2 linked regions of the Nothobranchius furzeri genome follow. Each later gene encodes a partner of the first gene's protein in a complex. Links are inferred from orthologs where the notes say so. Each region holds a gene or a part of one and is shown on either strand. Other genes may lie near its edges.

The links.
Region 2: stx8 (region 1) and vamp2 share a complex: the UniProt entries of both Homo sapiens proteins name them as parts of the SNARE core complex. The link is inferred for Nothobranchius furzeri from reciprocal best matches to the Homo sapiens genes STX8 and VAMP2.

Annotation. Positions count from the first base shown.
Region 1 is NC_091747.1:69,831,267-69,841,198, reverse strand, and holds part of stx8 (syntaxin-8), read left to right. Parts: intron 1-7,067; coding exon 7,068-7,169; intron 7,170-9,932. UniProt on the Homo sapiens protein: Vesicle trafficking protein that functions in the early secretory pathway, possibly by mediating retrograde transport from cis-Golgi membranes to the ER.
Region 2 is NC_091750.1:51,654,150-51,664,573, reverse strand, and holds the start of vamp2 (vesicle-associated membrane protein 2), read left to right. Parts: upstream 1-4,470; 5' UTR 4,471-4,673; coding exon 4,674-4,675; intron 4,676-10,002; coding exon 10,003-10,105; intron 10,106-10,263; coding exon 10,264-10,422; intron 10,423-10,424. UniProt on the Homo sapiens protein: Involved in the targeting and/or fusion of transport vesicles to their target membrane. Major SNARE protein of synaptic vesicles which mediates fusion of synaptic vesicles to release neurotransmitters.

The sequences.
Region 1 (9,932 bases):
TGATGTGGTCCCGTTTCCTGGTTCCAGTCAGGAACCTGGCTGCGCTGTTCTGCACAACTTGTAGGCGACGCAGTCATGACTGACACAACCCTGCATATAGAGAGTTGCAGTAATCAAGTCTAGAAATTACAAAAGCATGGAGTACCCGCTCCAGGTGGGCTCTTGACAGCATAGGCTTGATTTTTGCAAGGCGTCTCAAGTGAAAGAAACTGGACTGGATCACAGAGTTGATGTGAGCATCAAATTTAAGTCCAGCGTCAATTTTCACGCCCAGACTGGTGACAACTGGTTTGGAGTAGGGAGAAAGAGGGCCAAGATCAACATAACGACCCACAGCCCTGCTGTTGGGGTGAGAAACAATGAGCTCTGTCTTTCGCTCATTCAGATGCAGAAAGTTGGCCATTAACCAAGACTTTACCTCGTTAAGACAGGACACAAAGGACTGGATAGAGTGTCCTTTCTCCTGACACAATGGAGAGTAAATCTGGCAATCGTCAGCATAGAGATGGAACGATAGGCCATGCTTACGAAAGATTGACCCCAGAGGAAGCAGATAAATTGCAAACAAAAGAGGACCAAGGATCAATCCCTGCGGGACCACCCAGCGGAGCCCCTCCCATGAAGAAAAACATCACCCAGTTTAACACAGAATGTCCTGTTGTGGAGATACAATCTAAACCAATCCAGAGCAGACCCTTTGATCCCAACCCATCGTTCCAAGCGATCGAGTAGAATCGCATGGTCGACTGTGTCAAATGCTGCCATCAGATCTAACAACAGAAGCACCACAGATGTACCCTGATCTAGTGATAGATAGATGTCATTTAGGACCCTCAGTAGAGCCGACTGTGCTATGGCCAGACCTGAACCCTGATTGGAAAACCTCAAACAGATCAGAGTCAGCTAAATGTGAGACCAGCTGCTGATAAACGACTTTCTCAAGCAGTTTTGATGTAAAAGGCAGGGTAGAGATAGGCCTGTAATTTTCGATCACAGAGACATCAGCACCAGGTTTCTTCAGGGTTGGCTGTACAACTGCTGCTTTCAAAGCAGCTGGGACCACACCTGTGCTGAGGCTCCCATTGATAATCTGACCAAGTGAAGGGCCAAGACACGGAAAGGCAGCCTTCCAGAGATGAGGCGGCAGAACATCAAGTGGAGAGCCAGATGGCTTCTGCCTGAAAGTAGGACAGGAAGATCGGGGAAAGGGGAATGCTGGGTGTTGCAGTTCCCGGTGGAGGTATCATGGGTCTGGGGCATTGACAAATAAAAATATGGACATAGGCTGCCCATTGCTTCGCCAAGGCGCAGGTTGAAGCCAAAAATGGGAGGTTCCCACCACTGATTTTTTTTGACCGAGTCACACCCAGACAATACAAAAATGGGAAAAGAGGTGGAGCTGAGGGTGGGGCTGTTACATTTGGAAAAGGATTGGAACAAATGAAACCAATGTAGTTGCTAGAAGAAGAAGAAGAAGAAAATATCATTTCTATAGCGCCTCTCAAGATAAAACTCACGAGGCACTTCACAAAAACAAAACAAAAAATGTAAAAATATAAAAAAGCATTTAGAAAATGTTAAAAAATATATTTAAAATGAGCAAAAATAGGCAATTGGGATTTAAAAGAAAAAAAATGTTAAGAAAGAGAGAGCGTGAATAGGAAAGAGGGAAATCAGTGGATCCTGAGGAAGGTGGAATAGGTGGGGAGAGCAGAATAAAGAGAGAGGGGTTGAAGAAGGTCATACAAAAGCCAGCTTGAACAAGTGAGTCTTCAACTACTTTTTAAAGGAGACCACTGAGTCCACTGATCTCAACCTGCTAGCAATGTTAGTTAACCCGAGAAGCTAAGAAGGGCTTCGGGGACCCTGGAGAAGCCCACTCGCACGGCCGACAGGTTCCTGTACAAGGCTGTAGTCTTGCTGGTCGCCTGTGGATATCTAATATGGACTGGGACTGTTGAATTACAAGCAGAGCCAGACCGCTGCGACCGGAAGCCTTGGCCTTTTGTATCAGCTCATTCTCCACAGTTGGAAATGAGTGGGAAATTAGCTACATGCTACCCTGAAGCTAACTGAGTTTTACTGAGCCTTTTTAGCAAGAAAAACGCAGTAGAGCGACTCCAACATGAAGGCACCTCCAGCTTGCTGAGTAACAAAATTACAGTTGGGTAAGCTGACCGAGGACATTGGGTTTTGCTGGTCCACCGCAGTCAAAGATTCGTGAGTCCACCGTTCTTAACGCACGGTTCTCTGGGAGCATTGACTCTGCTTATGGCTCCGTGTCGTGCTCCCCACCAGAGACGAGAGCGTCGAAAATGGCAGACTCGCGTGTCTTTCACAAAGGTTGACCAGCGAAGCCCGATAGCCTTTGCTATCCTCGGTCAGATACCCAGCAACCACACCAACACATTATATTTCATTCGATTTCAACCCATCTTAGACCAAGCATTGTTAAGGTAGAATTTTCACCATTCAACCAGCAAACAATTAGCGAGAAAAATGTGGTTGAGTGACTCAAAAGTGAAGCAGCATCAACTAAAAGAGCTGCAGTGTTTCTGTGATCTCCCTCAGAAATCCACAAGTGACCAGCCTGACTACAGCCTCGCATTGGAGCCAGTCCGTTCATTGGCTGCCCCTGGAAATGGGAGCAGCCAGCCGCCTGTTCTAGCAACTCTTCTCGGGCGGGAGACAGAAGACTGGCATCCGCTCAAGTTTCTTATCCAGCCAGCAGCCAGACTAACATGTTTGACCAAGCAGTTAAATGACACAGCATTTCCCCCATTCAACCAACGAACCAGAAATATAATTTTACTTACTGATAAAGAAGAAGCAGAAACTGCTTGGATGATATGTTAGTGCAGTCAATAACCACAGCTTGCCCTCTTTGGTTTTTAATCATAGAATAATATGGACAAACACAAACAGACAAAAATGAAGTTCAGAGAGTCAAAATGGCTGAACATCTATTAATGTCAGGCTGAGGCCTTTCCCCGGAGCTAGCTCTGAATACACATGGCTCTGATGCTCATTAATTATTCAGAATTTTAAGCATTTAAATACACTTAAACAGAAAAGTTAAAGAAAATTCACCCCCATCACAGTTGTCACGAATATAAACTAGATCTATTAAACCTAAAATGTTGAACCAGGCTGTAAACATGTTTATTTCAGCTGTAAAACGGACATTTTTAACATGGGAGTCAATGATGATTTGCCCCTAGCGGATGAGGGTGGAACTGCAATCTTAGCCACTCCTTCAGCCTGGCCTGCCAAATCTTCCTCTGTTTAATTCTGCACAGAGAAAGGGTCTGGGAGCTCTCCTATTCAAATAACCCCACCCTGTGAGAATTCTAACCGAGCCAATCAGCACTTAGTAGCGTACATCACACGGCATAACGCCGAGTTTCTCATAAATATGGCGACGGAAGCGGAGTTTGCTGTGGCTCTTTCCTCTGTTCTAAATGACTTGAATGTCTTTAAAATAACAACAAGTAGAAGCGCTAAAAGCCTTTCTTCTGAAAAAAAAAAGATGTTTGCACCGTTGCCAGATGCCTTTTTCATTACAGTTACCCCCAAATTCCACTACCTCCGTTCCGCTCCGCTCCGCTCCGCTCCGGTCCGCCCCCGCCTTCCACAGCCGCTCGCTTCCGAACTCAATTTTTACTGGTACCCGCTCTACAACGGCTCCGCTCCGGTGCGGAGACCTGAGGTGGGCAAACAAGCATGCGCGGGATTTTCGAGATCTTGCGATACAGTCCGAGCAATAAACGCGGAAGTTAGATCCAAACACCCGTTGTGTGGGAGAAGCATCGGCATGAACTGTTTAATCTGCCCATCATTTGTGTTGAGAGATCGGCAGTGTTTGGATCAACTGAGTGTGACTACTTTGATAGTAGAAAGTGTATTTATGGCTTATTTTTGTGCATTTAAAGTTCAGCCGCCATTGATAGTTGTTAAAAGTTGTTAAACCTGTGCATATGAAACAAAAAAACGCCTTTTGTTTATCGATTTATTGTGAAAAACGGAAGTTGTGCTTGCTCCTTTTCCTGTTGGGCGGTTGTGATTTCTGTCCATTTACTGCGGAGGTGCTCCGGCGTCCGGCAAAAATAGGATTGATTCTATTTTTGCCGGACGCCGGAACAGAGGGCGGGGCACTGCGCCGCGCTGCCGGAGCACGGCCGCAGTAGTGGAATTGCTCTGATTGACAACAACGGGACCGATTTTGCTCCGGCGTTCGTGTCGGAGCGGAGGTAGTGGAATTTGGGGGTTAAACAACTACAGCATTGCGCGGCACAGTCGGCATTTCAGTTTTTTTCTGATTGGTTACTTTTGAGCTGCCTAGTCCCGCCCCTCATGCGCCTCTCTGCCTGTGTTACCAGACTCTCTCTGTGCAGAGTTAAACAGAGGATGAGTCTGGCAGGCCAGGCTGCTCCTTGGCTTCAAAACATGTAGATCATAATGGCCTCTTGGTGTGGGGAGGCTGAGCAGGCGAACTTGTGACCAACTGTCTTATACATATTTGTTGTTCCTCTGATTATTGCTTCTCTATATGAATCATTTTGCTTATCTCTTTTTTTTTTTTTGCACCAAGTACTGCTGCAATTTCCAAATGTTGTTATTTCTCACATGTATGGCAATAAACCCCCTTCTGATTCTGACTCTGACGTTCCAAATAGGTGCTAGTGGAAGGATTATGAAAATGTCAAAAAGACCATAAACACTAGTAAAATTCACCTTTTAATGTATTTTAGACATTTTTAGGTCACATTTAGCATTTGATGTGCACCTTTCATAGCAATGTATTTTTGACAAAGTTATAAAGATATCAAAAAAGATAACTTAAACACATACACTCATTTTTTTAAGCTGTGGTAGAATTTTTCATCAAGCTGAGCCTGAAACATGTTTTTCTTTGAGCTTCAGAAGATCAGAGGCAACACCAGAAGCCCATTGATGGAAGAAAAAGACACCTTAAGGAAACTTTAGGATTTTGTTGAACACAACTTAATAATTATCAAAAATTTTCAAACAAAATGTTCGATGTGAAAAATTAATAGTTTCATTGCAGCTGTTGTTGGAGGTTGTGTCCGAGCTCCAGTGCGTTTTGGCACAGCTGGAAATTCATCAATGAATTGAGATGTTTCATTTGGGCCAAAGCTGAATCAGGGAACTTGGCAGCGGCTGACTAGCATCATGCTTTATGACTCGTTGGAGTGGCATGCGGCAGAAATGGCTCAGTGTCTACACCCTTTGCCTGACAGTAAAGGAAGAGTTTCTTCACTCTAAATTGTTGCCTGATGCTCAGATGATGATGTGGGAGTCTCCAGGGGCGCCATGCTTACGGCTCTCTCATGTCTTCTTGTTTCAACGCTTTTCATCCCCAGACAGACACGCTTTGCTTTCCTTCCTTGAATTCATGCATCTTAATTAGTCCATTTCAGTCTAAACACAAACTGTCTTACCAACGGGGGATGACTCGCTCTTATTCAGGTGTTTTCTTGACACTGAGACAAGTACGATGCTGAGTACAGTTGTGGGAATTTAGTGATTTAGCACAAATTTAGAAGAACAAATCCATGACTCATTCAGATTATTTGACCCTTTTGCCATCTAAAGCAACTATAAACCATTATTCCAGGGCTTAAGAAGTATATATGTTCTAGTTTCACTCATTTAAATGTATTTTTAAAAAGTCACCACACTGATTTTGTTGTGAAACTGAATATAGAAGCTAGCAACTTTGTCTTATTTTTGCTTTTTCTTTTTTATTTTATAAGGCTACTGGATATTACCTGTCATCACTGCTAAAGTTAAGATAAAAAACAGACTTTTTACACTGGAGCTGTGTTCTGTAGTGACTCTCTTGATTTATAACAGGAGTAATGAGGCATGCTGCTCTGGATGTAATTGCTCACATGTTTCTTCATCTGTTTATTCATAGTTTTCTGTCAGTGTGACAGTTGGGCTCTTGAGAGAGACTGATGGATGGCCTTTACAGGAAAAGATGTTGTTTTTAGCAGAATTTTGTTTTGATACGCCCGTCTTAATACTTCTGAGCAGATTTGTAAAAAATGTGGTTAAATTTGTGGTCAAATCAGCCATTTTATACGGCAGTCATGGGTGAAATGGGTTGGCATTATCCGTAAACAATGGCATTCTTTAAAAACAATACCATAGTCAGAATTTGGTCGTCCTCCAGCAGTTGTCTGATTTTATTTCTGGCTCCAGACCTCTGGAGATGCCACGATAACACAAGCCAAGCAAATCACGCGGCTTCATCTGGACAACCTTCAAGACTTAAAGTTCTGCTCTAGAGACCCTGGCCAAACATGTGTACACAAATACACACACATATGAACACACACACACACACATACAGAAAAATAGAAACATAAATATCAACAGGGTATCCGCGGGTCTTTAATAAGTCTTAAAAAGTCTTAAATTAGCTTTTCCAAATTTAAGGCCTTGAAAATCCTTAAAAATGACAAATAATCCTTAAATACAGTTTCCAAAGGTCTTAAATTACCAACGACCCAATATTTCTATGAAATTTTCGTGAATTTCGAGTGTTCAGCATTTTTTGTGTATGATGTTGGCGTAAGCGGAACCGTACACATTCAGTTGGTTGTGAAAGGGGGCTATTTTTAAATGAGCACATTAGCTGGTTAAGCTAGTGGGAGCTTGCGCCATGGGGAAGTGCAAATTTAATGGTAACTGGATGGCTAATCCCACGTTCGCGACGTGGTTAGCACCGGTTCCAGCCAATAGCTGGAAAATATAGCTTAAATTTAATTTAAAAAATTGCTTAAATTTGGTCAAAGTGGCCTTAAAAAGATCTTAAAAAGTCTTAAATTTGGCTCCCTTAAACCTGCAGATACCCTGAAAACTATTTTTTTAAAGCCTAGTCTTGCAAAAGGGTGGATGATTACTTGCACACAATCCTCTACTGTGCGTTTATAACCTCTGCCCTTTGAATTAGCCGACTTTTACAACACCAAGTATAAAAATGGTTATTCAGAAACTAATTAATTAATTTAAACGTCTTCTTTTCCTGTCTGTCTCAGAAATCATCGATGACCTCGCACAGCTCGTCGACACGACGGACAGCAGGATTCGAAATGAAACACGAAGGGTGAAGCTGGTGGAGACCAAGTCAGCGTCCTGTGGTGAGCCTACTTTGTTTCAGAGTTACCCAACAGGAGGCGGCCTGCAGCTTGAACTGCTGTTCTTTAAGCTAGAGTGGTGTACTACGAAGGTTCACTCAAATGGGAGGGAGAGCTTAGCACAGCACGTATACACCCACCCCCGCCCCCAGACCTCTGCGCCCCACTCATGCGACACATTAGGGTTTGTGGTTGAGTACCTCTAGGAAATGGTTGAAAGCATAAAGCAAATGTATAGATAACAACAAGCTACCAACTTTGATTTTCTTTGAAGGTTTAGGAACAATTAATCATCTGTTAAGAGTAGAGATCCTTCGATCTGATTATGTGATTTTCAAATGATTGGAATCGGGTGGAAAAGATCGGATATAACCTTCTAAAACAACAAGCATGGTCTTTTAAAATCATCCTGAGTTATTGAAATGTAAAGACAATGGCTTAGTTTTCATTTTAACAAGTTTCATGGCATCAGTATTCATCGTTGCATAGATGACAACACCACAAGGTCACATAATTAGCAGCGTGCAGGTAAGTAACACACCATAACATTAAGCTGTTAGCAGACACGCTTAAGCTGTTTTTACAGGACCGTAGCGTTTGCAAAACGGGATTTGCCGCGCACCCTGGGGTTTATTTTGGCATTTATCGTAGTAAAGCTGAAGCTAGAATAAACGGCCATCTGGCACCTCTCAAACCAAGACGGGATAGAGGGAGGTCGCTGGGCGGCCCCCCCGCATGTGACGTACAGGGTCGCGCATTCAGCGTCAGACGGAAGACACGTCAGATTGATGGAATTTCTTTTTCAGGACCTTTAGCTTTGATGTGACCTGTTTTTTGTCCCGCTTGTTGCCCCGCTCAGCCGGTGTTTTCACCTCTCTGTCGAACACCTGGCTGTCTCTCACCGTCCCCGTAAAAAGGCGACTAATCTTTTCGTCTGCTCGCACGGCCAAAAGCTCCGTGGTCTCCGCGTCTGTCCAGTTTGCCATGTTGTAGGTGGTTGAAAGATACTAGTGAGAGGCCATGTTTATCTGTGTTTATATCCCTCCCGGCCGGCACTCTGCGCGCAGTATACATCACTAACGCGACCATCCTCTTTTGCGGGGTGGGCCATCCACAGTCGCTCCAAATGGATTAGCGGGGCTGACACGCGTTTAGCTGTCAGAGGTGAGGGGCTCGTGCGGCAATATTTCTACCAAGCGAGGCGGAACGAATGCCGCAAAATTCGCGCAACGCCATGCTGGCATGGCGCGTTTATAGACATACCATTGCAGTAATATTATGCCGATTTACCGGCATGGCGTGTCTTATAAAAGCACCTTTAATGTCAAGAGAGTGGAAATGTCTAAAGTTTTAACGTATTAAACCAGACAGCAAAGGCAGTGCAACAGCCACTTATGATTTGCGCCAACCAATGACTAAACATACTGGACAAACCCTCCGTCATGTGACCTATAGATTTCTGAAGAGCTGAATTAAAGCCCAATAAGCGGCTTTGGCCACCAACATCTTGACCGTGTCACACATCTTGTCACGTTATGCAGTTGTTTTAGCCATTTTCAAAAGACATTGTGCTGGCAAATCAGCATAATACTGCTGCCACAGTGTGTCTTATGAAATCAGTGTGGCAACATGGCGATGTGACAGTTTTGCGGCTTTCACGTTGCCATGTTCGGTAGTAGTATTAACACAACGCCTTACTCGTGAACGAAGATTATGCCTTGGCACAACAGAAGGTGATGTCATGATCACAAGTATTGTATATATTGAAAATGAAAGTAAAAATAGACAATCACCCCAGTTTCACAATGAAGCATCAGCGGTACGGAGCGTCGCTGCTTCAAATAGAATCCATTATAGTCTATGGAGTGTTTCAAAAACAACCGCGCCATAGCAATTTTCAGACGAGTCTAAGAAGCGGTGCACCGCACCCGCTGAACAAATGATCAGCCTCTATTTTTGCAGCAAGCCGCTTCTCGGACATGTCAGTTTAGGGTTAGACAGGAAATCACACACGGTTTCAGTGTAAAATGCCCAGTAATTTTTTAAATAAAAGTACTGCAGTGTGACCCAACGGCCTATTTAGTCACAGCATCATTCCAGAAGTGTAGTGGTGTGTTTTTCATGGCTTTAATCCTGGCGGTGGAAAGAAACAACATCATATATGACGTCAAGCAGCGATATCAAACGTGATTTCCTTCTTTTTGGTTTAATGGCGGATTGCATAAACAAGCCGTGAACTTGGAAGTCTTGAGGGATTGTGTGATCTCGCGAGTCCAGGAAAGAGCACAGTGAGGAAGCCGGGCTGCGGCCAAAACTCTCCCAGTGTGAAAAGGACAGCTTTGAAATCCGTGAGTAAACCCCTCCGCTGCCGTTTGAAGTGTGAAGCCAGGGTAAGTTTTGCTTTTCTAAACAGAATCAGCGGAGATGGTAAATTGGAGCGATGCAGAGCTCTGGGAGCTTCTCTTCATTGGGGCTGAAGCTCAGATCACCAGACAGTTCACGGGGACTGTGGAGGACAGAGACCTTTAGGAACGGCTGGTCAGAAAGACATTGTGGCTTCATTCACAAGTTATGTCCAAGCTAAAAGGAAGTCTGTGACAGCACAGAGACCTCCCCCACACCCCTTTATCCTGTCATCGCTGAATCTTTGGTGAAAAGCACACGATCGTGCCACATTACCGCCACAGTCTGACCACTTATGAACGACCAAAGGCTCCCTGATGTCAACTCAGCTTTGTGTCAAATTGGCGGCATTGTTTTCCGAAA
Region 2 (10,424 bases), on another chromosome or scaffold:
AGGAGCTTGGGTGATTGGAAAACGAGAGGCAGGTGGGAGCAATTAACAGAGACACATGGCTGAACAGGATGGGGAGACAGGACAGGGTGTGACTCTCTCTCTCTCTCTATATATATATATATATATGAAGATATATATATATATATATATATATATATATATATATATATATATATATATAGATATAGATATATATAGATATATATACATTTTTAGTTTATTGATGCTATGAATATCACAAAAACCCAAATACCAATCTGACCACTGCACTGACCTTTTGAGACCAGCTCACTTTGACATTTAAAGATCAATCAGACTGTGACGTTTGCAGGTGATACTGTGGCTTTGACCTGGAACAATGATGAGTCTAAGAGTAGGAGGGGAAGGAGTGTGCTGATTGGTGCACGGCAAACAGTTTCAGCATCAATTTGACAAAGACAAAACATAATAAATCTGTATCCAGCTGAGGGAAAGTTGTAGACACTAAAAAACTCAGAACACAGTAACAGTGACTGTTGCTGAAACAACCTCCACATTTGCAAAATCAAGCATTCATTTGGCGCCATCTTGTGGCTGAACTAAAACAAAGGCAGGAGGGAATCTACAGATGTTTTTCTGAGTCCAAAAAAATTTTTTTTTATTGTGTACCCTAACCCTTTAAAAAAGCAATCAGCAGAAACAAAAGGGTGTGAACCAAATAGATATTGAATAAATGTCCAGAAGGACATGAGCATAACTAAACTTTGTATTTAGTGTTGTAACGTGGTCTAATGTGTTTACTTATACACAACTGATAACTTAAACAAAAGTGCATCAGTTGCACTTAGATGAGTAGAAATAATCAATAAATATATACATGAGACAAAAAATGTGACACAAATTCATCAAGACCTTCAGATGTTTAAAATCCAAGCATACAGAAAGAATATTGTCCCTTTTTGCAATATAAATTATTTAAATGTAAAAACAAACAAGATTTATTCATTACTTTTATTATTTAAACAACATTAAATAAAACATGCCAATAAATTCATTTTTCATGTCTTTGTTTCCCAATATTTTACTGATTTTCCCTAGAAACTGTTTCAAGGACCCTTTAATGAAACTCTCAAATCCTAGAATTGACTTTAACCCCTTAAATATTAGGAGAAAACTCAAAAATATGTATATAAACAGAAGTGTTCTATAGGTCTGTAAAATTATAAATAATCAGAAATGTTCTCCTTTATGCTCCCTGTGAAGGCAGAGTCATCTTGTTCGGTGCAGTGTTGCTGTAGCTTTTGTAGAGTGGGAAAAATCTCACCACAGGTCAGTCCTCTGTCACTGGAGTCTGCTAGTGTGGAGGTGTAAAAATGAGATAGATGATGCTAACATGATAGGCAGTGTTAGGTTATTAGTTATCTGAAGTATTAACACCAGAGGACGTGCGAACGTCACTGCTGCTGCTGCGTTGATATTCACTAGTCTGGAGCGGGCCAAAACACGTCAATAACTTTAAAGTTTTAGCATATTTTATGCCCAAAGGCTTTTGTATATTTGGAATGCTCCCTTGATGAAATATCTACTTTGAAAATATTGCAAGTTACCCTGTTGTCTTGTTTTCTTGCAGGGCCGGATTTAGCCAGCCCTCCAAAGGGGTGCAGGTAGAATATCGGCAGGGGGGTGGGGTGGGGGGTGGGGGTGTCAGGTCTGGGAAATAATTTTTCGGGTGTCACGTACCTCCAGATCCCTAAAATGCATAAAAAACTGTGCTATCATCATTACAGTTCGTCTGTCCATATATCTATCTTTTCCTTTGATCCATTCCTTACACTACCCTCTGCATTTACCCGGGCTTGGGACCGGCACAAATGGGACACTGGCTTGTTCCCTATTGGGGCTGCATTAATCTTTTATCTATCTATCTATCTATCTATCTATCTATCTATCTATCTATCTATCTATCTATCTATCTATCTATCTATCTATCTATCTATCTATCTATCTATCTATCTATCTATCTATCTATCTATCTATCTATCTATCTATCTATCCATCCATCCATCCATCCATCCATCCATCCATCCATCCATCCATCCATCCATCCATCCATCCATCCATCCATCCATCCATCCATCCATCCATCCATCCATCCACCCACCCACCCACCCACCCGTCTGTCTGTCTGTCTGTTTGTCTGTCTGTCTGTCTGTCTGTCTGTCTGTCTGTCTGTCTATCTATCTATCTATCTATCTATCTATCTATCTATCTATCTATCTATCTGTCTGTCTGTCTGTCTGTCTGTCTGTCTGTCTGTCTGTCTGTCTGTCTGTCTTTTTTATTTTACTTGTACATATATATATATTGGGTCCATGTGGCAGGGGTGAGGAGTGAGCACCACCTCACCCCTGCCACATGGACCTCAAGGGATAAACCATCAATCCTGCTCAATGGTCAACTTTCCTTGCAGGGTCACCCATAAAGACAGTGGGAGGATTAAAGATTAATCAGAATCAGAATCAGATGAATTTTATTGCCAGCGCTCCTTTCAGAGCATAGGAACTTGACTCCATAGTACAACCTGACCAAGGTTACACACACACATATAGACAAGACAGATACAGGCACACCATGGGAGCAGCCATAACGGCGCTCCGTTGTAGATGAGTAAGGGAATACATGAGGGAAGTTCAGGGAGGGAGAAAAAAGGCATTAGCAGGGTTACACCAGCAGGGTGTAGCACTCCAATGCAAAAAAACACCCGACATGTAAGCAACAAACGTCACAGTTCACAACATGAGACCCGGTAGGTAGGGGGGAGGGGCTGGGATCCTGGTTTCCTCAGCGGGGGCTGCCTGTGTGGCGCTCAACCAGCTGGCTCCGCAGGTGGGAGGGAGGTCATGGGGAAGCACAGAGAGCAGTGAGTCCTTTAGCTTGATGACCTCTGTGGAGACCACAATCTGAAGGTGGGGGGGTGGGTGGATAGAGATTCACAGCATTTGTCTGCATTCCTTCCAGCGTGGAGGTTTTGCACGCAACTCCAAGGCTGCTTATGGCGTCAGATTCGATAACAGAACTTTGTTTGGGTCAGACAGAGATAATTTTTCCTCTCTGCCTTAAGTCTGTATTGATCATTCAAGTCCTCCAGTGAAGCCAATTCAGTGATTTAACATCTCCACACCATCCGGTGACCCTTTCCGAGATGTTATCAATCCTGCACGCTAACACCGGTAACGCAGCTAAGACATTGTCCAGCTTGCGATTCACCTCGAGCAACGTCCCAGTCTGTGAGGTATCCACACGGACGGTGCCGTCCATGGTTGCGGGTCGCCCTCCAATCGCTCCCGTCATCCCAATTTTACGGAAAGCCAGATATCCTCCCACTCTAATCAGAAGAAATCCAATGATCATCAGGCCAAATATCCACATATCTTCGACGCCCTCAATGGACAGCTGAGAGAGACAGATGATATTCCACTTTTTCCAGGAATCAAACATATATCCCGCTGCATGTGTCCCCTGAGGACAAGCGTGAGCCCCCTCCTCCGTCCTCATTGTAGAAGAAATCTTATCAATTGCGTTGAATGACCAATTAATTAAGTCCATGTTGAAAAATGCTGAAAAAGGTGATTGCAGAGGAAATGCAGAGAAGCGCTCTGTAGGCAGACGGGACAAAAAGAGCCTTGGGAAAACACAGATAAGGGAGGAAAAGGCAGAAGGGTCTGCTCCCTGTGAGCGCCGGAAGAGATATTTAAAAGATATTTATTTTATTTTATTTTATTTTATTTTATTTTATTTTATTTATCCACCCATTTTGGAACTGGCTCTATTGTTGCCAGCTGCTAGCTACTCAGCGTAGTCGTAACAAATCTCTCTTTCTCCCAGCTGAGGTTGTTCAAAGAGGTATATAGGACAGATAATATTGAAACTGTTGAGAAAAATCCACTTCTAAATATCTAAACTCCCTCTTTAAAACTCTTTGGGCAAACAGCCCTTAGATGAATAACAAAAAGCAGCTTATAAATAAATGAGGTGTTGTCCATGAGTAAGACACTCATTCATTTGCTCAGGTGGAACAGCTCCCCATCACATCCACATCGTGTTTACTATGAATGATAACAGCCTCGCCACACCTCCTTCCCAAGAAGCCATTTTGTTGACACAGTCTTGCAGTCAACATTAAAACTCCTTTTTAGGAGCTTCAAACGAAATCGTGACCATCAAATGTCCCATCTGTGCAAGAATAGCGCGTTTTCTCCCAGTAACAGCGCATAGGGAATACAAGAGCGGTGTTCCGGGCTGGAAAACGGTGGGTTTGGAGTGCATGGCCACCCATTTTAACATGAGGCTCACCGCTGCTGACGTCACCGAGCCGTCTTTGTCCACCTAATCCAGGCGGCTGTGTATTACCCCTTCATTACCACACAGACCCAGGCTCCGGACATAGCCTGCAGGTAACGCTTCGCCATAGAATTAGGGATAGATAATAACAAATAATAAAATAATTATTGTAGCGAGGAGACAAACCAGTGCTCCTCCTCGGACATATAGACAGGGAACGCCACAATAACCAACCAAAGGCTGCCAGAGGCTAGAGAGGAGCGCAGAATCCATCCATCTGTCAGCCACTTAGGACCAGATCACCTTTCCAGTCCGGATTTCACTGCAGCTGTCTAGCTAATAACACCAGGAAAATGTAAGTAGCAACATTTTAATCTTTATTTAAAAAATAAATAAATAAGCTGATAACTGCTTTATGTGGTTTGGGGGATTTCCTGCTGTCTTCTGTTTCGCGCAGCCTTAACATTTCCCAGCTTTGATCTAAATCATCCTTAAACGCCGTATTTTATTTTATTTGCGTCGCTTGTTTTTCTCTGAGCCTGAATATAGCGGCCAACGCATCGGCCTAACCTTGGAGGAGCAGAAAGAGAAGCACCGGCTCTTATCTCGATTATAAAACACCATCTCATTTATTTATTCAGTCTGTTTATTTTCCATTTTACACAGAACGCTCTGTGTTTACCGCCTGCTTCTTTTCAGTCCGTTTTCCTAGTGCGCACGCACGCACGCGCATATATTTTTTCCAGTTTGAACTGGTTTGAAAAGAAAAAAGATATCACACGCACGGACACACACATTTATTACATGTATTGCAGGCGAATTAAAAGTCCAATAAGAAAATGAATGAACTATCAACTATGTTTGAACTTTATTATTTGTGTTTGCTTTTATTGCCACCGACCGACCAGCTGGTGACGATTAAGCGGATTTTAGAAACAGCAAGGACACAGTGCTCAACAAACCAGAACTGGAGCTTCATTTTAATTTGCTAGCCTTCTCCTGAAATAAAAAAATAACAAACAAACGGAGAAATTATCGACTAATAGTCAATAAACGTGACTGATGGTAATATTAGCTCAGGCCTAGTTTTTGTGCTATTTCCACCCTACAGCGGGGGGTGGGGATAGCCTAGCCTCCTACTGTATGTCGTCGATTGTCACGAGAGGGCGGTCGGGTCCAAATTTCAGACTGGCTATGACCTTTTGGTATAACTAGCCCCTTTAAATACATTTCTGAAGGCATTTTGTGTGTTTCATATGTTTTAACTCGATCATTTAGTAGACACTAAAGCTAAAGTGAGGGTTTCTGTGACACCTCCTTCCACCAGTCTCCCTGCACATCAATGACGTTTAACCAGCCTGATGCTAGCACACTAGTTTCTACTGTCCATGGCGTCTTCCTCTGTGAGCTACCAGCTAGCAGGAGACTCCACACCCTCATTCTGACTCAGTTTGTGCTCCATGTCAGCCACCATGTTTTAAAGGACATTAAAGTGGAACCTGTTATGTTAGTGAAGTCAAGAAACATCGACCAGGACCGGGCTGGCTGAGGGTCGGATGAGACAGAATGATGCTGACGAACTGTCCAGTGCTGAAATGTCGCTGTCCAGTGCTGAAATCCAGTAACGACAGAGATATTCTCCAAGGGTGGGAGTTATACAGTGATAACATTAATATTCGACATTTCATTATTATTATTACAGACATTTTGTTCTTATTAGGGTGAATTACCGTAATGTTTCAGTGTGTTATAATCAAAAAGCATAAATAGGGAGCCTAAGTCTCCTCCCCTTCCAGTTGGCTAATGGATCCCCAGAAGAACGACAAAATGAATACAAGTCAACGGGGCTGAAAGAGCTATTTTCTGATCCATTTAGCCTTACGCCCTGGAATATGTTGTACTTCAATTTTAATGAAAAAATAAATGATATGATTCAACCATGCCAATCACGTACTTTGAGATTTATCAGCTTGTAAATGATCATAATTAGCATGGCAACAAATCGGATGTTGGGTACATTTATGAGTGTCCCCTAGAGTCTGTTAGTAAAACCAAAGGTGAAACTTATCTCCTCGCTGCGTGTTCATCTTTTTAACACCTTAATCTAACAGCTGAAATGTCTCATCAGCCTTCATTAGGCTCTACAGGAGTGGTTCATCACTAAATGAAATAAATCAGCTTTGTTCACGATCTAAAACATGAAGGAAGCATACTGGAAGCAGACTGAAGGCCAGGCATGTCAGCTCCACTTTACTAAGTCCAACCAGTCTGCCACTCTGAAGCTGTAAATGCGGTATTTTGGTGACAGAGGGTGGTGGGGTCTCAGTGACATTTAATTAACCATGTAAAGAGTCATTTCAGTACATACTGCCTCAATAAAGGGATTTAAAATATGAACAAGTTGTATAGTATGAATTTAATACGTTTTAAATAAATATGGTTAAGTCTACATCACGCATCAAGCAGTTTAAATTAAAAAAATGCAAAAACACTTTAAGAACAAATGTCTAAACCTGAGTTAGTTTTATATTTTTAACACTTGCAGATTGACAATGTTTCTCCTCAGTGAACAAGTTAAGGGTGGGGGTCCTAGTGAACTTTTCTGTCTTTTTAAAAATTCACCTGCTTTTCTTGGCAGACAAAGGACATAAATTACAGCTTTGTCTTGAAAGAAGGTTGAATATTTTTAGCTTTCACAGCCAATCTTACATCAGAAGTAGACTGTACAGGGAGTCATGTGAAACCTCACCTTCCCAGTAGGTCACGTTATCTGCCGTTGTCAGATAAGGTTTCCTCTTTCTTGTCCTGTTTTTGTTTTGTTCTGTTTAATTTAAAGAATACAATTAAGATGGGTGTTCTGTTTTCTTTCTTTTCATCACAATCATGGAAGCCTCAAATGAGTTTATCGTCTTTTAACAAACCAAAGACTTTGTGGCAGAGATCAGAGACAGCTGCACCTGGCTGGATGGAACACAGTAGGTGGTTTTTACAGGATGTGGAAACTGATGAGAAGCCTTGTCACTGCATTAGCAGTTCTGCCTGGTGTTAGCTGAGAGGCGATGACAGCGAGAACCTCTACACGCATTGCACCTTTGTTGTGGTGCTTATTGCACAGCAGCTATACAGATGCTACTTTTTAAATATTGAACTAAATTAATAAAAGTAAATTGTGAGGCTAAACAATAAAAGTGACATTTGCTTCACGAAAGAAAACAATATATTTTCTAACCTTTAAAAAAATGATGGTAATAAGATGTAACAGATTTTTTAAAAGTGATCAGACATTTCCCTTTGTGTCTGTTGGGTTTTTGTGCTGCTTTGGATGCAAAATGTTGCACTTTTTTTTTTGGTCAAAATGTTGTAATTCACCTAAGAACCTTTTAGATAAATACAACTTAGACAAACTTGTTTTGTTCACTTTTTACAGCTCAGTCTTTTGACTATTATGTGTCCACTTGTTGACCAAAATCAGACACAAAACAAGCTTAACCCTTCCACTTTCCTATCAGGTGACCCCACCAGGATAGGGGGTGGCTAAGCAGGGTTTAACGTTTATGCCTTGCCAGGGGTGAAGTGATGCACCCCTTAAAAATATTAAAATTAAAAATCAAAATACACCAGATGTCCATCTGACCCCATTAACAATGCGGGAGGGTTATAGGGAAACTTGGCAGTTTTGGCTATCTTTTAGCACCCCCTATTGTCCAGTTAGTTAAACCAAAAGTAAAACATATCTCCTTGCTGTGCGTTCATCTTTTTAACATGATGAAATGTCTCCTCAGCCTTCATTATGTTCAGGAGCGATTCATCACTGAATCAAACAAATCAGCTGTGTTCACAATCTAAAGCATGCTAGTAGCAGACTGCAGTGCCAGGCATGTCAGCTCCACTTAACTAAGCTCACCAGGGTGCAGCCTGCCACTCTGAAGTTGCAAGTGCGATATTCTGGCTGCAGAGGATGGTAGGGTGTGAGTGACATTTCGTTAATCCTGAAAAGGGTCATTTAGCACATTCTGGCTCAAGAAAATTATTTAAATAAATGAAAAAGTTGCTAAGTATGGCTTTAAGTCAACAAAAGTGCAGATAAGACTGTTATTAGCTTTATAAAAGCATCATAATAGCAAAAAATGGTCCTTGCTTGTAATAGAATGTGTATTTATTACGAACAGAAGATACCTTTTACTGACTTTCTGCTATAATAGTTTAACTACTACTAACATTTTGAATGCATATGAAACATGGCAAACAAAGGCATTCTTACATTTTTGGCTTTATAAATGTAAAGTCTGTCACTAAATGGTAATAAGATTACAGCTGAGACTGCTTCATTTTAGAACGTTGTTGTTTTGCATAACACAAAGAAGCTGTGCCATCCAACACTTGGTGAAAAAGCACAGTAATTTACCTGAAAATGTATACAAATACAAAATAAATTAAACCAGCTATTTAATAAATAGTTTTAAAATTGCTTTATCTTTTTTGTCCTCTTGATAACTTGAGTGCATGCTAACATGGGTTGCAACTTTCGTGACACACTGAATTTTCAGTGATAAAATGGTAAAATGCAGGAACTCGGTTAACTTCAGTTTTCCAAACGGCTGATTGTTTTGTAATATGAATGCCTTTTAATGCAAGTTCCATAAAAAACGATTCCACAAAATCACCAAACTCAACCACATTACGTCCTTTGGAGGTCTTTATCTGTATATGTATTTTTTTTATTTTTTACTTCACTATCAGTTTCAGGAATCAGATATAAACTTGGTCATAGAAAAATAAAAAAACATCTATAGTTGGAATTTTTAAAGTGACTGCAGACCAGTTTATGTTAGCAGGCAGCAAAGTTCAGCTGTTAGTTTGTGAACCATGAGGGTGTAAATTATGATACCACAATCATTTCTAAGACTGTCGTCAGGGGTGAAGCATTACAAAGGGAGTGAGTTACAGAAATAAGGATGTAATAAAATATCAATAAACTTAAAAAACATGTTTCCTGTTATGATACTGGACTGATATATAAAAGCAGTGTATTGATTAATTTATTCAGAATTTACATGCAAACATTTACTGTATTTCTTTCATGCGGTGCAATTCTTATTCTGACCGCTAGATGGCAGCAGTTTTTGTGGCTTACATGCTGACGGAACATGATTTGGCAGTAAAACCAAGTTATGTTTTAACTTATATATATATATATATATATATATATATATATATGTGTGTGTGTGTGTGTGTGTGTGTGTGTGTGTGTGTGTGTGTGTGTGTGTGTGTGTGTGTGTATTTCGTATTGTCTCCAGATTCTTGCCAATAAAATGTCTGTAACACAAGTTACAAGCGTAATTTCAATGGTGTGAATTATTAAAACATGACAATCTCCACCCAAATAAGATCGAAAACTAAAATGCAATTGTGATTATTGGCTCAACCTTGTTTTAAAGCAAAGCTATCAGCCATCTAACAGGAAAATGACGTAGAGGTGAAAGGTGTGGTTTTATGAGCTGCCTCTGTAATGTTTGCTTCATGTCATACTCATGTCTGCACATCAGGGTAACACCACAATCCTCTCATTTTCCAAACCTAGGCAGTTTATTTTGGATCAGTTCTGTTTTATAAACAGATGCAGACTGACATATTTTAAAAAAATTCTAAATTTACATTTGATTTGATTGCTTTGATCACCAGGTCTGCCCCAGCTGGAGCTCCTGCACCAGAGGGAGGAAGTCAGGCCCCTCCCAACCTCACCAGCAACCGCCGTCTGCAGCAGACGCAGGCACAGGTGGACGAGGTAAGCACAAACTCTTCTTAAAATGCAGTCTAAGAATCAAGACTGAATGATCTGTATATTTAAGAAAAATCCTTCACATTATTGTCCACTTCCCATTTCAGCTAAACACCCAATCCTGCTCCCAGATGACATTGTTTTGTTCTGTTTCGATCCTCCAGGTGGTGGACATCATGCGTGTAAACGTGGATAAGGTTCTGGAGCGTGATCAGAAGCTGTCAGAACTGGACGATAGGGCTGACGCCCTGCAGGCTGGAGCCTCTCAGTTTGAGACTAGTGCTGCAAAACTGAAGAATAAATACTGGTGGAAGAATGCCAAGGT